Lepisosteus oculatus: one gene and its partner. The protein of the gene in region 1 interacts with the protein of each later gene in a biochemical or structural test. Links are inferred from orthologs where the notes say so. Each region holds a gene or a part of one and is shown on either strand. Other genes may lie near its edges.

Region 1 (11,957 bases):
TGTGTATTAACCCCTCTCTCTCAGTGCAGTGTCAGTGTACAGTAGTGTGCAGGAGGAGTGTGTGTATTAACCCCTCTCTCTCACTGCAGTGTCAGTGTACAGTAGTGTGCAGGAGGAGTGTGTGTATTAACCCCTCTCTCTCTCAGTGCAGTGTCAGTGTACAGTAGTGTGCAGGAGGAGTGTGTGTATTAACCCCTCTCTCTCTCTCAGTGCAGTGTCAGTGTACAGTAGTGTGCAGGAGGAGTGTGTATTAACCCCTCTCTCTCTCTTAGAGATGCTGAATTTCTGTGCCAATAACTACCTGGGTCTCTCCAGTCACCCAGAAGTGATCTCAGCTGGGGTGGCAGCTCTGCAGCAGTATGGGGCCGGACTGAGCTCTGTGCGCTTCATCTGTGGAACTCAGGTGAGTGGAGCCGTGTGCCTGTCTCTCGGGGCCCCAGTGTCTCGGTCACTCGGGGGCCCCAGTGTCTCGGTCACTCGGGGGCCCCAGTGTCTCGGTCATCGGTGTCTCTGCTCACTCAGGATCTGCACAAGTCTCTGGAGAGGAAGTTGGCTCAGTTCCACGAGAGAGAGGATGCGATCCTGTACGCCAGCTGCTTCGATGCCAACGCAGGAATCTTCGAGGTACAGACACTCTCTCTCACCCTCACACTCACTCTCTCACTCTCTCTTCATACTGTCTCTCACACTCCGGAGTTTCCCTGTGTCCTGTCCTGCCTGTCAGGTCCTGCTCACTCCGGACGACGCCGTGCTGTCGGATGAGCTCAATCACGCGTCCATCATCGATGGGATTCGCCTCTGCAAGGCCCACAAGTACCGGTACCGGCACCTTGACCTCAACGACCTGGAGGACAAGCTGAAAGCTGCCCAGGTACTGATCCACATCCAGCTGTACTGCATACAGTATGGTAGTGTGTCAGTGTGCAGGAGGAGTGTGTGTATTAACCCCTCAGTGTGCAGGAGTGTGTGTATTAACCCCTCTCTCTCAGTGCAGTGTCAGTGTACAGTAGTGTGCAGGAGGAGTGTGTGTATTAACCCATCTCTCTCTCTCAGTGCAGTGTCAGTGTACAGTAGTGTGCAGGAGGAGTGTGTGTATTAACCCATCTCTCTCTCTCAGTGCAGTGTCAGTGTACAGTAGTGTGCAGGAGGAGTGTGTGTATTAACCCCTCTCTCTCTCAGTGCAGTGTCAGTGTACAGTAGTGTGCAGGAGGAGTGTGTGTATTAACCCCTCTCTCTCTCTCAGTGCAGTGTCAGTGTACAGTAGTGTGCAGGAGGAGTGTGTGTATTAACCCCTCTCTCTCAGTGCAGTGTCAGTGTACAGTAGTGTGCAGGAGGAGTGTGTGTATTAACCCCTCTCTCTCAGTGCAGTGTCAGTGTACAGTAGTGTGCAGGAGGAGTGTGTGTATTAACCCCTCTCTCTCTCTCAGTGCAGTGTCAGTGTACAGTAGTGTGCAGGAGGAGTTTGTGTATTAACCCCTCTCTCTCTCTCAGTGCAGTGTCAGTGTACAGTAGTGTGCAGGAGGAGTGTGTGTATTAACCCCTCAGTGTGCAGGAGTGTGTACTAACCCCTCTCTCTCTGTAGAAACACAGGCTCCGGCTCATCGCCACAGATGGGGTGTTCTCAATGGACGGGGATGTGGCTCCCCTGCGGGGGGTGTGTGACCTGGCGGAGAGATATGGGGCGCTGGTCTTCATCGATGAGTGCCACGCCACCGGATTCCTGGGGCCGCGCGGACGGTGAGGGCGAGTGGGGTGTCCCCCCAGTGTCCCCCCGACGTCCCCCCGGCTGTGACCGGGCTCATGCTGTTCCCCTCCTGTCCTGCAGGGGCACCGACGAGCTGCTGGGGGTGATGGACCGAGTTCACATTGTCAACTCCACGCTGGGCAAGGCTCTTGGGGGCGCTGCTGGTGAGACCCCTCCCTGTCTGTCTGTGTCCAGTTTCTCTGGCCAGGCTGTGGTCACTGAGCCTGTCCTCTCTGGACAGCCAGGTCTGCCTGTGTCCAGTGTCTCTGGCCAGGCTGTGGTCACTGAGCCTATCCTCTCTGGACAGCCAGGTCAGTCTGTGTCCAGTGTCTCTGTCCAGGCTGTGGTCACTGAGCCTGTCCTCTCTGGACAGCCAGGTCTGTCTGTGTCCAGTGTCTCTGGCCAGGCTGTGCTCAGTGACCCCGTCCTCTCTGGCCAGGGTGTGTCCAGGCTGTGCTCAGTGAGCCGGTCCTCTCTGGCCGGGCTGTGTCCAGGCTGTGCTCAGTGAGCCGGTCCTCTCTGGCCGGGCTGTGTCCAGGCTGTGCTCAGTGACCCGGTCCTCTCTGGCCAGGCTGTGTCCAGGCTGTGCTCAGTGAGCCGGTCCTCTCTGGCCAGGCTGTGTCCAGGCTGTGTCCAGTGAGCCGGTCCTCTCTGGCCGGGCTGTGTCCAGTGAGCCGGTCCTCTCTGGCCGGGCTGTGCTCAGTGAGCCGGTCCTCTCTGGCCAGGCTGTGTCCAGGCTGTGGTCAGTGACCTGGTCCTCTCTGGCCAGGCTGTGCTCAGTGAGCCTGTCCTCTCTGGCCGGGCTGTGTCCAGGCTGTGTCCAGTGAGCCGGTCCTCTCTGGCCGGGCTGTGCTCAGTGAGCCGGTCCTCTCTGGCCGGGCTGTGTCCAGGCTGTGTCCAGTGAGCCGGTCCTCTCTGGCCGGGCTGTGCTCAGTGAGCCGGTCCTCTCTGGCCAGGCTGTGTCCAGGCTGTGCTCAGTGAGCCGGTCTTCTCTGGCCAGGCTGTGTCCAGTGAGCCGGTCCTCTCTGGCCGGGCTGTGTCCAGGCTGTGCTCAGTGAGCCGGTCCTCTCTGGCCGGGCTGTGCTCAGTGAGCCGGTCCTCTCTGGCCGGGCTGTGTCCAGGCTGTGTCCAGTGAGCCGGTCCTCTCTGGCCAGGCTGTGCTCAGTGAGCCGGTCCTCTCTGGCCAGGCTGTGCTCAGTGAGCCGGTCCTCTCTGGCCGGGCTGTGTCCAGGCTGTGTCCAGTGAGCCGGTCCTCTCTGGCCGGGCTGTGCTCAGTGAGCCGGTCCTCTCTGGCCGGGCTGTGCTCAGTGAGCCGGTCCTCTCTGGCCGGGCTGTGTCCAGGCTGTGTCCAGTGAGCCGGTCCTCTCTGGCCAGGCTGTGCTCAGTGAGCCGGTCCTCTCTGGCCGGGCTGTGAGTGAGCCGGTCCTCTCTGGCCGGGCTGTGTCCAGGCTGTGTCCAGTGAGCCGGTCCTCTCTGGCCGGGCTGTGTCCAGGCTGTGCTCAGTGAGCCGGTCCTCTCTGGCCAGGCTGTGTCCAGTGAGCCGGTCCTCTCTGGCCGGGCTGTGTCCAGGCTGTGTCCAGTGAGCCGGTCCTCTCTGGCCAGGCTGTGCTCAGTGAGCCGGTCCTCTCTGGCCGGGCTGTGCTCAGTGAGCCGGTCCTCTCTGGCCGGGCTGTGTCCAGGCTGTGTCCAGTGAGCCAGTCCTCTCTGGCCGGGCTGTGTCCAGGCTGTGCTCAGTGAGCCGGTCCTCTCTGGCCGGGCTGTGTCCAGGCTGTGTCCAGTGAGCCGGTCCTCTCTGGCCGGGCTGTGTCCAGGCTGTGCTCAGTGAGCCGGTCCTCTCTGGCCGGGCTGTGTCCAGGCTGTGTCCAGTGAGCCGGTCCTCTCTGGCCGGGCTGTGTCCAGGCTGTGTCCAGTGACCCGGTCCTCTCTGGCCGGGCTGTGTCCAGTGAGCCGGTCCTCTCTGGCCGGGCTGTGAGTGAGCCGGTCCTCTCTGGCCGGGCTGTGTCCAGGCTGTGTCCAGTGACCCGGTCCTCTCTGGACAGGGGGTTATACCGTGGGCCCGCGGTCCCTGGTGGAGCTCCTGCGCCAGCGCTCCAGGCCGTACCTCTTCTCCAACACGCTGCCCCCGGCTGTGGTGGGCTGCGCCAGCAAGGCCCTGGACCTGCTCACGGCCTCCAGCCAGATCGCACAGAGCATGGCGGACAAGACCAGGAGGTCAGCAGGGGGGTCAGTGTGAGTGTGTGTGAGTGTGAGGGAGGGAGGGAGTGTGAGTGTGGGTGTCTGTGAGAGAGTGTGTGTGAGGGAGTGTATGTGAGTGTGAGTGTGTGTGAGTGTGAGGGACAGTGTGTGAGTGTGAGGGAGGGAGGGAGGGAGTGTGAGGGACAGTGTGTGAGAGGGAGTGTGAGTGTGGGTGTCTGTGAGAGAGTGTGTGTGAGGGAGTGTATGTGAGTGTGAGTGTGTGTGTGTGTGTGTGAGGGAGTGTATGTGAGTGTGAGTGTGTGTGTGTGTGAGGGACAGAGTGTTAACCTGCTCCTCTGTCTCAGGTTCCGGGTGGCGATGACAGAAGCGGGGTTCGCAATTTCGGGGTCAGATCATCCCATCTGCCCCGTCATGCTGGGTGATGCCCGTCTGGCCTCCCTCATGGCTGATGACCTTCTAAAGAAAGGTGGGAGCCCTGGCACCCCTGTGTCCGACTGTTCCAGCCCCTGGCACCCCTGTGTCCGACTGTTCCAGCCCCTGGCACCCCTCTGTCTGACTGTACCAGCCCCTGACACCCCCCTGTGACTGTTCCAGCCCCTGAAACCCCTCTGTCTGACTGTACCAGCCCCTGACACCCCTGTGTCTGACTGTTCCAGCCCCTGACACCCCTGTGTCTGACTGTACCAGCCCCTGACACCCCTGTGTCTGACTGTTCCAGCCCCTGACACCCCTCTGTCTGACTGTACCAGCCCCTGACACCCCCCTGTGACTGTTCCAGCCCCTGAAACCCCTCTGTCTGACTGTACCAGCCCCTGACACCCCTGTGTCTGACTGTACCAGCCCCTGAAACCCCTCTGTCTGACTGTTCCAGCCCCTGACACCCCTGTGTCTGACTGTTCCAGCCCCTGACCAGGTGCACAGTCACAGTCTGACTGTGCCGGCTGCCTGCGGATCAACTCCTTTCTCTCCACCAGGGATCTACGTGATCGGATTCAGCTATCCTGTGGTTCCGAAGGGGAAGGCTCGGATCCGGGTCCAGATCTCAGCGGCGCACAGTGATGATGACATCGACAGCTGCGTCGCTGCCTTTGTGGAGGTGGGGCGCAGGCATGGCGTCGTGTCCTAGCTCCGCTGGTGCGCCCCCGATCCCCGCGGAGAGCAGTCGGCGTGCGGCTGTTTGTGCATCTTTGTGGGAGCGGGGGGGTCTGTGGGCGAGCAGGGGGTCTGTGGTGGGCAGGTGGGTGGGGACACAGTTTCTGTCAATAAAAGTGTTTTGGAGAGCTGTTGTCCCTTTGCTGTCCCTGCTGTTGGAGAGAATCCGCCGTAAACCCCGGAGCGGATCAGAGCTCTCTGCGCTGTAAACCCCGGAGCGGATCAGAGCTCTGTGCGCTGTAAACCCCGGAGCGGATCAGAGCTCTGTGGTTTGTTGTGCCCGTTGTGCCTTCTGGTGGTCGTTTAGGGTATTTCTCGCTATTCTGTCCCTGCTGCCTGGATGTGCCTGTCTCTGATACTGCTAAGTGCCTGCCTGTCATTAAGGTGTGCCCATTATCCCGCACAAGTATCTTTAAAAGTAGCGATCTGACCCCCAGCAGTGAGAGAGCTGAGCCGAGTCTCTCTCCTGTAGGGTGAGTAACACTTCCCTGCTGTGACCACCAGAGGGCGCCTCACTGCTAGTCTATTGATCTAGAGATGATAATAATAATAATAATAATAACAACCACCTTTATTTACAAAGCACCTGTCCAAGCCCAAGGACGCTGTACATAGTAATAAAGAGTCCAGTAAAAAAAACTGAATTAAAAATAGCATACAGGTTCACACAGAATAAGGGCAGACGATTCTGAGCTCGGATCTGAAGAGGGTTAAAAAGTTCTCTTACAACCGGAGGAAGGGCTTTACCATTCCTAAGGTTTAGGAATTATAAATTGAAAAGTATTTCTGTTGTAAAACGCATCAATAAAGATTACTGTAATATCCTTTACACGGAGGGTTGTGGGTTTTAGAACAGACGGCCCGGCCGGTTTCAGCGACACCCTGGGTCGGATTAATTAAAACCGGGGTAAGAGCTATTGCACAGGCGGACCGGATGGACTCCGCTCACGTGCGCCCCCTCTTCCGGGCCTTGTGACGCCTACAGTGAGCGCGGGGCGTTGTGGGATATGCGCGCTTCCGGCGTGACGTCAGACGTCCGTGTTTTTATTTAAATACAAAAGGAAAACACAACAAACGGGTATAAACATACAAATATCTAATGTCTCAACATGGCACAACAAGGTAGCAACGAGTGAATGAAACGGGGAAAAACACTGTTCCCAGTACAGAGGTCATGTGGTGTTAGGGGTTACATTAAATACGTTTATATGCCAAGAGCCTTTTGTAGACCAACTCACCAGGCTTATTTTGTAATATTTTCAGTGACTTAGAGTATAGCGTGAATGAGATAGAAAATTCTCTAAAGCTTATAGGATTCTTTTTTACTCTACACGAGTGTATGTAAACCTTTGCAAACAAGAGAATAACATTTACCATTATACGGACATCTTTGTTTGGATTCGAGACTCCGAGAACAGTATCTTTAAAAGTGAGATGTGCGCGAATATTACTATTGTATAGCCAAGAACAAACCGAGGGCCAGACAGTTGTTGAATGTTGACATGAGAAAAAAATGTGCGCTCTTCAGGACACTCTGCTCAAAGCGGTTTCCAGGTCCTGGGGATCCCCTCCACCCCCCGCAGTGTGCAGCCAGAGTGCGCCAGTCCGCGCCCCACACACCAGCTGAAGGACCACTGCACCTTCACGGACCGGGTCAACTCCAATGCGTCCTAACGATCTTCTGAAAAGAAAATGTATTTACTGGCCTGGCCGTCCGTGCCTCTAATGAAGCCAGTGTGGATAAAAAGCCTGTAACACAATCTAATATCTCCCACCGCTGCTCACAACTGTCAGATTCAAAGGGCTGTATTGGCAAGGCCGATTGCAGAGAAACATTCACAGACTTCTCCTTGTCACGACAGCCGCCATCATGTCCACAGCAAACAGGTCTCGCTTTCCCGCCAGCAGAAACCACACAGGCGGAGGGGGCGGGGTCGGACAACCCTCTCACCCAATCGGAAACCTCTCCCACAACGCAGTGGGCGTCCCCCCCGGAGATTCCCGCGAAAAGTGGAGAGGGGGAGGAGCGAGCCGGGGAAGCGCTTCAGCCAATCGAGTGCGGCCTCTGCGAGCCCAAGCCAATCAGAAGGGGCAGGAGGCTCGGAGCCCCGGCGCGTCACCAGGGAAACGGGCAGTAACGCCCCTTCGGTTTTGCCGCGAAAGCGCGGCGTGGTGCAGCTCATTGTCCTGGACTGAGCGGTTGCGCTTCTTTCTGCTCATACGGGAGGTGACAGAAGCAGAACAAAATGTCGGGCTTCGATGATCCGGGCATCTTCTACAGCGACAGCTTCGGGGGAGACTCCCAGGGGGACGAAGGCACAGTGAAGCGGACCCAAGTGAAGAAGCGCTTTAAGGAGTTTTTGCGGCAGTTTCGAGTCGGAACCGACCGGACCGGGTTCACCTTCAAATACAGGTCGGACCCAGACTAAGGCCACTTAACGGTGTAGTAGTTAATCAAACTGAGGATCCCTGTAATTGTGTAGCGGTGTGTGAGCTTTTAAAGGGGTTGTGCTGTTGTGTGTCCAGGGATGAGCTGAAGCGGCGCTACACGCTGGGGCAGTACTGGGTGTTGTGATGATGTTGTGTGTCCTGGCTGGACTGTGGGTGTTGTGATGATGGGGTTGTGCTGTTGTGTGTCCAGGGATGAGCTGAAGCGGCGCTACACGCTGGGGCAGTACTGGGTGGAGGTTGAGATGGAGGACTTGTCCAGTTTTGATGAGGACCTGGCTGACTGCATCTACAAACAGCCCACTGAGCACCTGCCTCTGGTGAGTCTCTAGCGCCAACTGTACAACCTCCGCAGGCACCTGACTGCAAGCTCTGTTCCCCTCTCCCGCCGCTCTCGGTGTAAGGACATGCTCCACGACCTGAGTGACACACGTGCTGCTTTGCTCTGTCCAATCACAGCTGGAAGAGGCCGCGCAGGAAGTGGCTGATGAGGTGACGAGGCCCCGCCCCGTTGAGGAGGAGGCAGTACAGGAGGTGCAGGTCATGCTGAAGTCAGACAGCAACCCGGCCAACATCCGCAGCCTGAAGGTACAGTATTAACCCCTCTCTCTCAGTGCAGTGTCAGTGTACAGTAGTGTGCAGGAGGAGTGTGTGTATTAACCCCTCTCTCTCAGTGCAGTGTCAGTGTACAGTAGTGTGCAGGAGGGGTGTGTGTATTAACCCCTCTCTCTCTCTCAGTGCAGTGTCAGTGTACAGTAGTGTACAGGAGGAGTGTGTGTATTAACCCCTCTCTCTCAGTGCAGTGTCAGTGTACAGTAGTGTGCAGGAGGAGTGTGTGTATTAACCCCTCTCTCTCTCAGTGCAGTGTCAGTGTACAGTAGTGTGCAGGAGGAGTGTGTGTATTAACCCCTCTCTCTCAGTGCAGTGTCAGTGTACAGTAGTGTGCAGGAGGAGTGTGTGTATTAACCCCTCTCTCTCTCAGTGCAGTGTCAGTGTACAGTAGTGTGCAGGAGGAGTGTGTGTATTAACCCTTCTCTCTCTCAGTGCAGTGTGAGTGTACAGGAGTGTGCAGGAGGAGTGTGTATTAACCTCTCTCTCTCTCAGTGCAGTGTCAGTGTACAGTAGTGTGCAGGAGGAGTGTGTGTATTAACCCCTCTCTCTCTCAGTGCAGTGTCAGTGTAGAGTAGTGTGCAGGAGGAGTGTGTATTAACCCCTCTCTCTCTCAGTGCAGTGTCAGTTTACAGTACTGTGCAGGAGGAGTGTGTGTATTAACCCCTCTCTCTCTCTCAGTGCAGTGTCAGTGTACAGTGGTGTGCAGGAGGAGTGTGTGTATTAACCCCTCTCTCTCTCAGTGCAGTGTCAGTGTACAGTAGTGTGCAGGAGGAGTGTGTGTATTAACCCCTCTCTCTCTCAGTGCAGTGTCAGTGTGCAGTAGTGTGCAGGAGGAGTGTGTGTATTAACCCCTCTCTCTCAGTGCAGTGTCAGTGTACAGTAGTGTGCAGGAGGAGTGTGTGTATTAACCCCTCTCTCTCTCACTGCAGTGTCAGTGTGCAGTAGTGTGCAGTAGTGTGCAGTAGTGTGCAGTAGTGTGCAGTAGTGTGCAGTAGTGTGCAGGAGTGTGCAGTAGTGTGCAGGAGGAGTGTGTATTAACCGGTGTCTCTCTGCAGTCGGAGCAGGTGTGCCGGCTGGTGAAGATCCCAGGGATCGTGGTGTCGTCCTCAGCGGTGCGGGCGAAGGCGGTGCGCATGGCGCTGCAGTGCCGCGGGTGTCGCTCTGTGATGTCCAACATCGCCGTGCGCCCGGGGCTGGAGGGCTACAGCCTGCCGCGCAAGTGCAACACGTGAGTCCCCCGCGCGGCCCGGGCTCGCTCCTGCCGGCCTCTGCCTCTCCCCCCTCTCACCCCGTCCCCGTGTCCGCAGGGAGCAGCCGGGCCGGGTCAAGTGCCCGGTCGACCCGTACTTCATCGTGCCGGACAAGTGCGTGTGCGTGGACTACCAGACGCTCAAGCTGCAGGAGGCGCCCGACGCCGTGCCGCACGGAGAGATGCCCCGGCACCTGCAGCTGTACTGCGACAGGTGGGGGCCGTGCCCTGGGGGGGCGGGGGGCCGGGGGGCCGGGGGCCGCGAGCCTGACACCTGCCTGTCCGCGCAGGTACCTCTGCGACCGCGTCGTGCCGGGGAACCGCGTGACCGTGATGGGCATCTACTCCATCCGCAAGGCCGGCAAGACCAGCAGCAAGGGGCGGGACCGCGCCGGGGTCGGCCTCCGCTCCTCCTACCTGAGGGTCGTGGGCATCCAGGTGGACACTGAGGGCGCAGGTGAGGGGACCCCAGAGACCTGCTGTGTGACCTCCAGGCCACAGTGAGGCGCTCTGCTCCTCTCTCATCTGTCCTGTCTGCTGCTGTGTGACCTCCAGGCCACAGTGAGGCGCTCTGCTCCTCTCTCATCTGTCCTGTCTGCTGCTGTGTGACCTCCAGGCCACAGTGAGGCGCTCTGCTCCTCTCTCATCTGTCCTGTGTCTGTGTGTGACCTCCAGGCCACAGTGAGGCGCTCTGCTCCTCTCTCATCTGTCCTGTCTGCTGCTGTGACCTCCAGGCCACAGTGAGGCGGTCTGCTCCTCTCTCACCCTGTCCTGTCTGCTGCTGTGTGACCTCCAGGCCACAGTGGGGCGCTCTGCTCCTCTCTCACCCTGTCCTGTCTGCTGCTGTGTGACCTCCAGGCCACAGTGGGGCGCTCTGCTCCTCTCTCATCTGTCCTGTGTCTGTGTGTGACCTCCAGGCCACAGTGAGGCGCTCTGCTCCTCTCTCATCTGTCCTGTCTGCTGCTGTGACCTCTAGGCCACAGTGAGGCGCTCTGCTCCTCTCTCACCCTGTCCTGTCTGCTGCTGTGTGACCTCCAGGCCACAGTGAGGCGCTCTGCTCCTCTCTCATCTGTCCTGTCTGCTGCTGTGACCTCTAGGCCACAGTGAGGCGCTCTGCTCCTCTCTCACCCTGTCCTGTCTGCTGCTGTGTGACCTCCAGGCCACAGTGGGGCGCTCTGCTCCTCTCTCATCTGTCCTGTCAGCTGCTGTGTGACCTCCAGGCCACAGTGGGGCGCTCTGCTCCTCTCTCATCTGTCCTGTCTGCTGCTGTGTGACCTCCAGGCCACAGTGAGGCGCTCTGCTCCTCTCTCATCTGTCCTGTCTGCTGCTGTGTGACCTCCAGGCCACAGTGAGGACCTCTGCTCCTCTCTCATCTGTCCTGTGTCTGTGTGTGACCTCCAGGCCACAGTGAGGCGCTCTGCTCCTCTCTCATCTGTCCTGTGTCTGTGTGTGACCTCCAGGCCACAGTGAGGCGCTCTGCTCCTCTCTCATCTGTCCTGTCTGCTGCTGTGTGACCTCCAGGCCAGTGAGGCGCTCTGCCCCTCTCTCATCTGTCCTGTCTGCTGCTGTGTGACTTCCAGGCCACAGTGAGGCGCTCTGCCCCTCTCTCATCTGTCCTGTCTGCTGTGTGACCTCCAGGCCACAGTGAGGCGCTCTGTTCCTCTCTCATCTGTCCTGTGTCTGTGTGTGACCTCCAGGCCACAGTGAGGCGCTCTGCTCCTCTCTCATCTGTCCTGTCTGCTGCTGTGTGACCTCCAGGCCACAGTGAGGCGCTCTGCTCCTCTCTCACCCTGTCCTGTCTGCTGCTGTGTGACCTCCAGGCCACAGTGAGGACCTCTGCTCCTCTCTCACCCTGTCCTGTGTCTGTGTGTGACCTCCAGGCCACAGTGAGGCGCTCTGCCCCTCTCTCACCCTGTCCTGTGTCTGTGTGTGACCTCCAGGCCACAGTGGGGCGCTCTGCTCCTCTCTCACCCTGTCCTGTCTGCTGCTGTGTGACCTCCAGGCCACAGTGAGGCGCTCTGCTCCTCTCTCATCTGTCCTGTCTGCTGCTGTGTGACCTCCAGGCCACAGTGGGGCGCTCTGCTCCTCTCTCATCTGTCCTGTCTGCTGCTGTGTGACCTCCAGGCCACAGTGGGGCGCTCTGCTCCTCTCTCATCTGTCCTGTCTGCTGCTGTGTGACCTCCAGGCCACAGTGAGGCGCTCTGCCCCTCTCTCACCCTGTCCTGTGTCTGTGTGTGACCTCCAGGCCACAGTGGGGCGCTCTGCCCCTCTCTCACCCTGTCCTGTGTCTGTGTGTGACCTCCAGGCCGCAGTGCTGTGGGCACCGTCTCTCCCCAGGAGGAGGAAGAGCTCCGCGCGCTGGCGGCCTCCCCTGGTGTGTATGAGTCTGTGGCGCGCAGTATAGCGCCCTCTATCTACGGGAGTCAGGACCTGAAGAAAGCCATCGCGTGCCTGCTGTTTGGCGGGTCCCGGAAAAGGTGAAGTCTTGATGAGCTGCAGCGTGTTCGTTAAACAGAAGTGCTGTCAGTGCGGGCCGGTGTGTGAACCCCTCTCTCT
Region 2 (11,293 bases), on another chromosome or scaffold:
CTTCTGCTCCTCGGCGCTCTCTGTGCAATCCATAGTGTCCAAGAACGAGGAGCTACCGTCCCTGCAGGACGTGACAATGACAATGCTTCTTTTTCCCTTACTTCACATCACAGGAATAATTTAATTACAGGTTTGTGACCTGTTTCGTAGAAAAGTAACTGAGCCTTCCTGCATCCAGACCACGGTAAGTTATATTCTGTAAAACTCAAATGCTGCCAATTGAGGTGGGGGGGACTGTCTTGCCCACAACTTTGTAGGGGTCATCCACTCACCCACGTATTAGCACCCCATTACACTGAAGAAATGGTAAGTATTTTTTTTTTATATTGGTGATCCATTCCAAATCAACAACTATTCACAAAATGTAACAATTCCTCACCTTTCCTCATTCAGTACACTCAGCACTGGGTCTACTGACAGGATTCCATACACTTCCAGCATGTCGTTTACCTTGACACTCTCCCAGTCCTCGTACATCTGACAGAAAGAGGCCACATGAGCTACAGGCTGTGCAAGCAGTGTTTCATTTTTAAGGACACTCGTATCCTACTACGCTTCTTTACAATACACAAAAATAAAGATGGGGTATTTTGTCTTTCTTTCTGAAGAAATATTTTACTACACAGCTTTCTCAGTTAGTCACATAAATGTTCAAGCTCGTTGAAAAGTAACACTTTGATTACAACGCAGTAACAGCATGATTTGGATTAGTTCTGTTTAAAATATTTCGAGTTAATCATGGCAATGGATACAGTTTTGTCGCTGCAAAGTTGTTTTTTGCTGCAATTGTTATGGCACACCTCCTACAGCAGAATGGACAAAAAAAAAAACTACAGAGCTAAAGTTAAAGAGTGCTGATCATGTCAGGGTATTACCTTGACAAGACAGGCTGGTCCCTTCTCTCCTGGAAGAGGGAAGTTGAGGTCAAGGGGGGAGGAGCAACCAGGCAGAGAGTTGCTCTGGCTGGATGGAGCTTCTGTCTCCAGACGCTTGGAGTCTCCACTGGTCTGGGATTCAGCAACCCCTGGCGGTCCTGAAAAGGGGGAAGCCAACTCCTTTAACCTTCTACCTAGGACAAACTGTGATTTGCTAGTTCCATTCTAACACTATAATGAGTAGACTTTGTTTCTAAATACCGAACAATTTCTGGGTGGACCGAAAAAAATTAGAACGAAGCAAAAGCTCTGAGCTCCAAGGTAACAGAGTCAAAATTACAATTCACGGCTATAAACAGAAGCCTTGCTCTTTGCCTTCTCTTTAGATGTAAGAGCTTGAGATACCTGAAAGCTGGTCTTTTTGTTTGGAAGGCTGCATGTCCATATCTTCGTCCTCCTCATAGCTGCGCTTGTGACGGCAGGGTGTGTAAGATGTTGAAGGACTGACACGGGCCTGACTTTCACAGGCGTAGGTGTGCACGACAAAGTTAAGATCAATTACAGTGCAAACCAGCCTAGCAGAGTCAGACCAGAGCCATCTAAATTACACAGAACGTGCGTGGCTAGTCTCTGAATCAACAAAGATTTTGCATGCTAACAGAAACATTCTAAATTGTTTTGCCACTCCTTAACCTCCAGCACACATTAACAACTTGAGTTTTGCTGTTGACTGACTCAAAACTATCAAGACTTGTGAATGTTCACACTGCTGAGTTCTCTCTTCTGCAGACTTTTACCATCCACAGAGCTTTAAAAAATACTGAATGAGTTTTAAATAAAAACATCTGAGTTGGCATATTACCTCTATCACAAGATTTATGCTTGTTACCCTTTCTTTCACGATTCTTTACAATTTTGAGACAACGCTTGGCAAGTAGTTGAAGCACCTACATTCTTTATCAAATGGACATTTCATTAGTTGATGTTTAAATGCTCTCCAACCGACTTTAAAATCTGTTCAGCAAATGAGTGGCAGACAGTTCTGATATTCTGGCTTTCTCAGATCCAAAAATGCCAAGTGTGATCAATCGGCAAATCTAACCCTATATCATATTTTCAAAAAACAAATGAAAGGATATCTCTTTCACCCAAGGGGACTCTCCAGGAATAGGCACACAATAGAAGGTTTGTCTCTCCAGAGTTACACTCTTGTTCGAGTTCAGGTCGACTTCCTGCTGAGGCTAAAAGCATTCAAATTAGAAAGAGAAGTTATCAGCTTTTTAACAGTGAGTACATTCTGGGATTAAATGCAGAGATAGCAATGTAGTTCTGCTGCCCCCTAATGGAAAACCGTATCCAGAATAACACTCTATTTACTCCCACATAGACACTCTTCAAACAAAATTGATGTAGGAAGAAACCCTGGTCCATGACTTAGCCTTTTTAATGAATAAATGGTCATATAAAAACACATCCATTAGAAACATCATAATCTTATGAACTTACATTTTTACCCTTGAAGGGTTCAGGCACATATTCATGGTACCTTTATAAAGCAAACAGTAACCAAAAGGTTTCTTAAAGATATGCCAAATGAAAGCCTTTTATTCATATTTTTTTATTCTTGAATTACTATTCTTAACTGTGACATTTTGTATATTTCATCTCAAACTAAACTACGTGAAGTTTATAAGACCTCCACACCCAAACCATGTGGTTGTGGCTAATGTGCATTGGTTTCTGATGGTTGGTGAAACCTTTTCACCGTTTAATATAGTCAGACTGGCCTCCAGCTGGTTGGGTCAGAGAGTTAGGCTCTCTCATCCATTTTACAGACCATGAACCTGCCTGTTAGCTTTGTACCAAGGTCTTTTGTTCTGTGACCTTCCTGAGGTCTGTCGTTATCAAGCAAGTTGCTCAGTTTAAACCTTGTTGTGTTTTACCAAAGTACGGTTGTCAGGGATTTCTCAGTCTTTTACAGGCTGCCAAAGTCCAGGGAGTAAAATGGCTTCCATCACGTGTAGCAGCACTGCATTCTCCTAACCACCTGATTCCATGGTGCAAACACATGCACTGCATTGATACAGAAACCGTCCTACACAGTGTCTGCTGGCCTAACCTGTTATTGCTGCAAGGCTCTACAGCTTAATATACATGTAGAAAAAAGGATCATCACTTACCCCACATTCTGCAATGTCTCTGTATTTTCCAAATCGCAACATCTGCAAGAAACAACAAGGCACCAGTTAAAATAGGAGTCGCTGTGTGATGGTCACATGGCAGAAAGCCATGCCGAAACAAAACAGCAGTTTTGCAAGTATCACGAATCATGTTTAAGTCTTAAGAGGCTGAAAAGCTATTTTCCTTACGAATCACAGCAGATGGATATATGCAAGTGAACGATGGTACAAAAGCACAGAGAAGATGGCAGAGCGATAGTCAACTATTGCCTGGCAGTCATCAATTAAGGAATGCAACAATTCTGATTGTGAATTCATCAAACCAAAAATACTCACAACTTCCAGTGTTAAAGACTGCTTTATTTTTATACGTAAGCAAATTACTCTGATGTTTTCATCCAGCATTTTATTTATTATAGTGACAACTATGAAGAGACCCGCAATCATGAAAGGAAAGAATTCCTCTCAGTAGCATTTCAGACTTGCCATCCTGTGAAACAGGATGCAGCGAACCAAACAAAAACCCCCCTTACGACAGTAATGTCCACAGCAGCCGCGAAGGGTGATGACACCAAACGATGGGAAGGCAGAAGAGACAGGCTGGGTACTCACTCGTTCTTTCGAAACGGGGTCAACGGTTTCGTACACTCCCATGTAGAACTCCGGATCAAACATGTCCTGCACCATACACCGGAACTTGACCAGACTGTCAGGCTTCAGGTAGTGTAGAGGAACATCATTTAAAGAAGGAACCTGGTAAAACAAAACAGCACTATTCATAGCTGTTAGGTTACACTTAACCTTATTAGTTAGTGTGTGATCCATTGGACTGTCCATTGCTTGTGGCAAGCACACATGGAACAACAGAGAAATTAACTACACGTCAGCATGTATGCATTTATTTACAATTCCACAGCATCAGCACAGTGCTGTATCCAACTAAGCGACACTCTATTATATTGGGTTATTATACCCAGGCAGCCCCAATACACATGCAGGATAAGTAGAAAAGCGAGCAAGTACAGTATGTACTGTAATAGTTACAATTATATATGGAGGTTTCAAATCTAAATATCATTGTTTTTGATCCTTTCGGTAAGAGGACAAACTCAGACTTACCCAGTTTGCTGCATCATTCACTTTTAGCTTCTCTTTAAAATACTCCACCACTTTCTTCTCCCATTCAGGATTGGGGGTCTGAGCTGCAAGAACGCGGAGAGTGAACTAGAGCACTGAACTAGATTGAGGAGAGGTGCACCGATTACCCATTCTGTTATAAGAGGTGCACCCATTCGTCTCGAAATGCAAAACTTGTGGAAAAATATTTAGTTAAGATTTTTGCTACCTGATGTAGTGGAAAACTCCTACCGCCCAAATATATAAATTGCTTTCAGTTAGGGGTTGCTTTTACATGGAATTGAGACTACTCATTAAACACAAACATCTGGGTTAATGAGCTGTGACCACCTTCAAAGAGTCATACTTTTTTAGTTGATCTATACTTAATACGTTAATGAAAAAGTAATGATCTAATTTACAGTACATTATTCTATCGTTAAAACGAAAAGTTAACAGTGATATTATACAAATCGAATAATTAACGTAAAAGTTGGAAAAGGGAGGGCGTTACAGGTTTCTTGTTTTTTTTTAAAACACGTATTTTTTTTATCTTATGCTATTAATTAAAAAATCTCAGTAGTTGCTCCGCGGTAGTACAGCGATCGGGGTAGATAAACTATCCCGATCCAAAGCGAGCACTTAATTCGTGCAATTAAATCAATTCAGTCATTTAGCTTTGCCAAATTCCTGCAACGAGGCTAAAATCCATGTCCGAAAGGGATTTTGTTTCTCGCACTCTATGACCGTGCTTCTCCGGATGAAATGCATCTAATCCCCTAGTTTCGATTTGCACTGTTTACACCACGCCTGAGGCTCAGAAGAGTCCAGCAACATGTGACAACAGTGAGTGGCGAACATGATCAAACATAGGAAGCCACACAACAGAAAGAAATAGTTATAGACAACATCCTGAGCATATATAGTTACTTTTTTAAACATCTATAAAATAGGCAAAATCAGATTCTCTATCCGCGGTTTAAATCTCTCTAGTACGGGTTAAAGCAACCAAAATTATCCTTTACCAACATCCAGCATCAGATCATATATCAGTAGATCTTGTTTCCTAGGTTCTTATAATATTGACATACTATAATATTGAAGAATGTACATTCGATTTCTGGACACATTTCGCGTACTGTGAAAGTTTAAGAAACAGGAACCATAACTTTTCCCGTGACTTTTTGACAGTAAACAAATTGTAGCACTACTTTCTGCGGTTGAAGATAGATATTAAACTACTGTTATATGACATAAACTCGGTATGTGAATAGGCTACATGCATTTCAAATTGGATCGCAATTTGCTGAGAAACTGCATAAAACGCATCGTTGCAAAAAGATCCACTTACCAAAAAATCCCTGCACAACGCTTAAAGGGCTGTTAATCCAATCTAGAGCAGAAGGCATCTTTGCTTGCTTTAAACTGTAGTTGATTGCTTGGAGCGCGAGAAAAGTAAATTTGAAAATACAATTCTTCACTACAGGAACCAGATTCAGAAACTCACGCAGCTCCAAGGGACAATTCACAATGGCGGGAAATTTACGTCACCAGAGATGAACCTCTGAACTTTGCCGCAAGTATTGCGTCAGAGACCTACTGAAACCGCTTTGACGCCATTTTTACTGTGGGCGTCTTCATGCTGGGAGAATTTAACTTTAACACATCTTTCTTTGTTTTCCACGTTGAACTTTCAACATTGTTTGAGCTCCTTGAACTATTTTCCCGTGATGAAATTTACTCCCAAATATAGAATGTTTAAACTGCCATACATTCATACATTTAAACCATTTGCTAAAGAAGATATAACTGTCCATAAATGCCTAAAGTGGGGACCTCTGCTTTTATTTCGAACATTCATCTGTTAGAATAATAAAAAAGCATTATATATGTTAGAGAATAGTACAATGATAAGGAAATTACCTTCCACAGCCTCACCATACTTAGGTGCTTTGAGGCTTTGAAGAAAAGAATTTGCCCTGTGTTAGCTTTATTTCTAGGGATATCAGGCATATAAATAGAATCCTTTTTGTTTTGAAAAGGTTGTCTTTTGAAAAGACAACCTGAAGAAGACTCTACAGCCGAAACAGTGTGTTTCTTTTCTTCTCTTTTCAGCATGGAATAAACCTTAACTTGTTCCTTTGCTGCCTATGCACTCTGCCACAGATGCCTTCTTGAATTATTTTTTTGTCAGTTGGAAGACAGATGTGCATTTGAGAAGATGACTGTGATTTCCATTACCATTTGATTTCCAATCAAAAGCACCAGAAAATGATTTAAAAAATGGAGAGAGGGGACTGCGCTGTGCATCTCAAACAACACCTCTTACAACCAACAGAAAAGTGCTACATAGCAAATAAAAGCTTGAGATATTTTTTTAGGAACACTGAGCTTTCCCTGAACAGCAACACTTAGTGCTTAGTGTTGCTCTTTCCTCGAATCGATAAGGGTCAGCTCTGTGTGAGGTAAAAGAGTCCATATACCATTTCCACACAACTTTGTAGGAGGTACAAAAACTGGCTTGTTACATAGTGAGACTAAAGGCCTGCCAGACAAATATGCTTTAGTCTTAAGAACAGGTGTTAGACCTGCTACAAAGAATTCTACAATAATAAACATCAACTGGCTGCCCACAGTTTATGGATAACCCCACAGCTTATGCATAGACCTGCTACAATACTGTCTGCAGTTTCAGGATTTTGGAATATCAGTTTCATGCAGTTATGTCGTATTGAAATTTGGTATGACTATATTCATATCACTAAAACCACTACAAATCAATACTTTATTTGATAAATAATGCTAAATCCTGTTATGCCATCCAATACCGGTCTAAAATTCTGTTTTATGAGGGAATTCCTATTTTTCTGAATTGTAATTATGTTATGCTTGCATTCATAATAATTATTAAGTGATAGTCTGTTAATTATACAATTTAATTAATAAAAGAAATGCAAAATGCCATTACAACCTTAACGTTTCCTGTTTAACAGTATATTTGATTTTTTTTTTGCAACTTTGCTTGTTAGCTGGTTTTGAACCATCTTCAGAGCTGTTGATTTCCATCTTGGTTACTGGCAAAGATACTAGTGGCAAGCTACTCAATGAGCGGATCAGCTGTGTGTGACGTACCTCGACCTTTTACCCCAGATCCGGTCCGTAGAACTGAAGCTGGTAGGATACGTGTAATTGATGTCTGAAAATGGCTGAGAAGAAGCAGAACAGCAGTTCCAGCACAAATCTGCTTTTCTCCACGGCTCCGGAGTTTAACTTCAGCGTACCGTTTATTCCTGTCAGTCAAGCCACCGCGCCTGCGGTGCTTTCGGGAGGTAATGTACCACAGACTGGAGAAGTAATCGGGTGCAGTATTATTAATCTAAATAGTCCGCCTATTCCTGCCTCTTTATTTAACCTGACGATTAAAAAACTGCCAGCTGTGCTTTTCAGTTGTTTCGAGTGAGCACAAAAATGCTGTTGTGGTTGTTTGAAGTTTTTATGCAGTTCGGTGCGAAAATCGTATTAGTGTCCCTGTTGATATCGTGAACAAGCAGGGTTATCAATTACGTTTCAGTTTTACGGTGTTCATTGATTACATTTGATTTTAAAAGACCAACACGCCAAGGCCACAACGCCGTTTCACTTTGAAGTGTGTTATAAAAGTAGATCTAAACTTTGATTTGCCTAAGTATTTTTTTAATTAATAACTTAACAATGTTGATCATCACCAACCGTCATGAATTACTGTAAATAGCTATGATCGATCGATACTCGATACGATTGTATTGATAGCGCTCTATTTACTTTCAAAATCCCAACATTTAAAGATATTTGTGTGTGTGAGGATAGACAGCTTTAAAATTCGCTACGTTTTAATTGGATCAAACTAGAAATATATTTTATTGCTATTAACGATCATGGCAAGGTCAGAATTAAATGAACTTTTTTGTTAGAAAACGAAAAATCTGTCAGTGTGACATTTAGAAGAGTGCCCGGCACAAAGATGAACTGGCCACCTCACCGACGTCGTGTTGGAGTAAACAGGCATTATGTAGTATAAGAGGGCGAGATTAGTTGTTGTCTCAGTTGTCATTATCATATCAGCAAGCATACAGTTAAGCTGTGATCAGCTAAGCTTCCTGCCTTTTAAATGTTATAATTGCATCCTCATTTGAGTATTTCTTTAATAAAGTGTACATTACACAATGGTTACAGATATATTTTCTGATTATGTGTTATCTTTAAAGCAGTGAAACTGAGTATTAAGTATGCTTTTTACTAGACGTGCCCTTATAGGTAACCATTTAATCAATTTATAAAGACCTGTAACAGTATAACTGTGAACCGCAAATAGGTGGTCTGTTAAATTAAGTCTTTCAGAGATCATTCTGGAAAATACATACTGTATACATATATTTGAAGAAATAGTTCAGGTGGGTAGCTGTGTCAGCATGCGTAGGCTGCAAAGGAACAAGTAATAGGTTTATTCCATGCTGAAAAGTGAAGAAAGAAAACACAACATTCTGGCCATTGAGCCTTCTTCGGGTGTGAGCAACCTCCTCATCCTCACACGGCTCCACGGTCGAAACATTGTGTTTTCTTTCTTCTCTTTTCAGCATGGAATTAACCTACTATTTGAAGAAATGCCCAGTGGTACAGAACAGGGAGGTTGCACCATATCAAAAGCTGCCAGCTTAAATTTACCCAAGATCTTTGTCACTAGGTCCTAATTTAGTGTGGGAAGCAACTTAGGTTGAGCCTAATTTTAGTATTTGTTCTGTTTTGTAGTTGTTTCTTTTCCTTTTTATGTTTTGTTGTCTTCAAACATGAACTTCCATGCTGAACACCATCTGTCGCTTGATAAGATTTTTTGCTGCATGAATTACTTTGAAGTCATAGCCAAGAACATTTCCAATTAACCGTTATATTTGGATCTGTAGCCCTGGCTGTAAAAGTATGAAGAGAATACCAGAGTGAGTGTTGCTGTTGAACTGATTACTACTGGTTAACATGCATGAACTCTGAGCATGGAGTGCCATGCATCTTTGTTAGTTATTATAAGAGGAGTATTTGTGTTTCTACAGCTTTTATTTATTATTTTGATATATTATTTTAGTTTTTCTGCAGGGACATGTATAGTTTAAAAATATACCAAGTAAAAATGCCTGATAGGCTGTTGGGATTCCTCAGGAAGTGGAATATTATCTTGCTACGTTCCACTTTCATTCCACTTTTAGGTTGCAAAACCTATGAATAAAGAAGTAAAATATTTTCAGATTCAGTCGTAATGACATCATAGTAAGCCTGCTGGTGCCATCTAACTGATGTCACAATAGCGATTCAGCAGCAGTGTCTCAGTCATAATCTAGTCAACAGCAAGCAGTCTTGCATTAAACTGGACTAGTTTTTAGACCTTTTACTCTCTCTAGCTATGTGTCCATTCTTTTCATAAAGAGGTGAGGAGGAATTATGAAATTTGATGCTTAATCGTAGTCTTTGGAAGCTTAAGCTTACAGATAATAGTATTATTGTGATTAAATGTGAAAAACATAGAAAGTAGTTTAGTGTGGCAAAAAAGAGTTGATTGGACAGAATGATAATCATTGTAACACATGGGCTCTTCAGCTGTGGGTCAGGATCCAAAGTAGGTGTAAATGCTGTTTTTGCGAGTTGAAGCAATGGATGGAGGTGGGTATGAAGCTCCATTTCCTGCTCATGTGTCATGTCCTGGCTTGTGCCCTGTCATCTAGCATGTGTGAGAGAATTGCAGTGTACTGCAACTCACAGAGGATTCCTTAATCAGCTCCTTGCAACAGTTTCCTACTGTATGTAACGCACCTTAAGGAGAGTGTACGAAATGATCATTCCAGAACAGCTAGATCAGAGGTCTAAACTTGGCAGTTCTGTTTTCTTGAAAAAGTTGACCTTTCCAAAATGTGAAAACAACCATAATTTCAGGTTATGGCTGTTTTTTTTTGTCTGGGCTTGGGTATGAATGTTGGAATTTCAATGGGCTAGTGAAGATCCCATGGCACTTTTCATGAGAGTAGTTGGGGTGTAAACCCTTTTGTTCTACCTAGACTTTGCTCCAGGCTTGCCTGTCTAATTGGGCCTGCATGAAGTTCACTGAGCAGGTGAAGGAGTTTCCCACTTCACCTGTTGTGCTGTGTAGAGGGTAGGGGTGGTGATGACTGTAGTGTATCATCCAGGTAGGTGCTACACTTCGTCGTGGATGAAGTAGGTCATCTCCTGTAATTCTATTTTGCCTTGTTGTCCTTGCTCGTCTGGAGAGTAAATTACACTTAAACTCTGGGATTTACTGAAAAGGTTTGGTGCAGGTTGGAGTATATTAGAACCTTGATTATGTAGCTCATTGGGCTTGCCAAGTCTGTGTTCTTGGCCTAATGTTTCTGTGCCTTTTCTTTTAAACAGAGGATTCAGCGGATGTCGGAGAAGAGGACAGTTTCCTTGGCCAGACATCAGAAAATGCAGACCACCCACCTACCTTCAGCTACTTTTCTAAATCCACAACCAGCAGTGATCCTTTTGCCTCGATAGGACAGCAGTGTGCTTCTCCAGCATCTTCGGCAGGGACAGTGACCTCAGTGAGGCCGGCTGTTTCTCTGCCTTCCGTCTGCCCAGGACAAAATGTGTACCCCACCACCTCGGCCTCTCCGTCAAACTTCGCTCAGCCCCCGGTTTCTCAGTTTGGAAATGCAGCTTTTCCGGGCCCTCAGGCAGGGTACACCCTACCGCCGAGCAGCGTAGCCCCACCTAGTGGACAGGCTCAGCCAGCGGGATACAACCCCTACCGCCACACTCCCTTGAGCAGCCGGGCCAACCCCTATCTGGCTCCACCCCAGCTGCAGCAAGGCCAGGCCCAGCAGCTTCAGCAGGCAGCTTTCCTGCAGGCTCCTCCTACTGCCCCGCCCTCTCAGACATTCCAGACTCCGCCTCCGCCGCCATCACAGGTGACTGCTTCGTCCAGTCTTTCATATTGTTGCACGAGCAAGGGACAGTCATTAGATCACTATGATATTAGGAGACATTACCTGTGACCTGGATAGCTCCAAAGATGTTGAAGGACTGTCAAGTCTACAGATCTGCCTGCATACAAGTGATGCA

The links.
Region 2: the proteins of mcm5 (region 1) and mcmbp form a complex in vitro, tested with the Homo sapiens proteins (2 studies listed by BioGRID). The link is inferred for Lepisosteus oculatus from reciprocal best matches to the Homo sapiens genes MCM5 and MCMBP.

The regions. Positions count from the first base shown.
Region 1 is NC_090707.1:39,635,225-39,647,181, reverse strand, and holds the start of mcm5 (DNA replication licensing factor MCM5), read left to right. Parts: upstream 1-7,227; 5' UTR 7,228-7,338; coding exon 7,339-7,505; intron 7,506-7,733; coding exon 7,734-7,860; intron 7,861-7,999; coding exon 8,000-8,128; intron 8,129-9,207; coding exon 9,208-9,380; intron 9,381-9,459; coding exon 9,460-9,615; intron 9,616-9,691; coding exon 9,692-9,858; intron 9,859-11,706; coding exon 11,707-11,878; intron 11,879-11,957. Other genes in the region: gcat (2-amino-3-ketobutyrate coenzyme A ligase, mitochondrial), read left to right, coding at 273-403, 523-624, 725-871, 1,583-1,737, 1,826-1,908, 3,784-3,955, 4,285-4,406, 4,915-5,066. UniProt on the Homo sapiens protein: Acts as a component of the MCM2-7 complex (MCM complex) which is the replicative helicase essential for 'once per cell cycle' DNA replication initiation and elongation in eukaryotic cells.
Region 2 is NC_090699.1:33,811,277-33,822,569, forward strand, and holds the start of mcmbp (mini-chromosome maintenance complex-binding protein), read right to left. Parts: upstream 5,708-11,293; 5' UTR 5,581-5,707; coding exon 5,523-5,580; intron 4,258-5,522; coding exon 4,175-4,257; intron 3,809-4,174; coding exon 3,668-3,808; intron 3,098-3,667; coding exon 3,056-3,097; intron 2,117-3,055; coding exon 2,014-2,116; intron 1,410-2,013; coding exon 1,281-1,409; intron 1,034-1,280; coding exon 876-1,033; intron 478-875; coding exon 380-477; intron 62-379; coding exon 1-61. Other genes in the region: sec23ip (SEC23-interacting protein), read left to right, coding at 7,374-7,500, 10,601-11,139. UniProt on the Homo sapiens protein: Associated component of the MCM complex that acts as a regulator of DNA replication.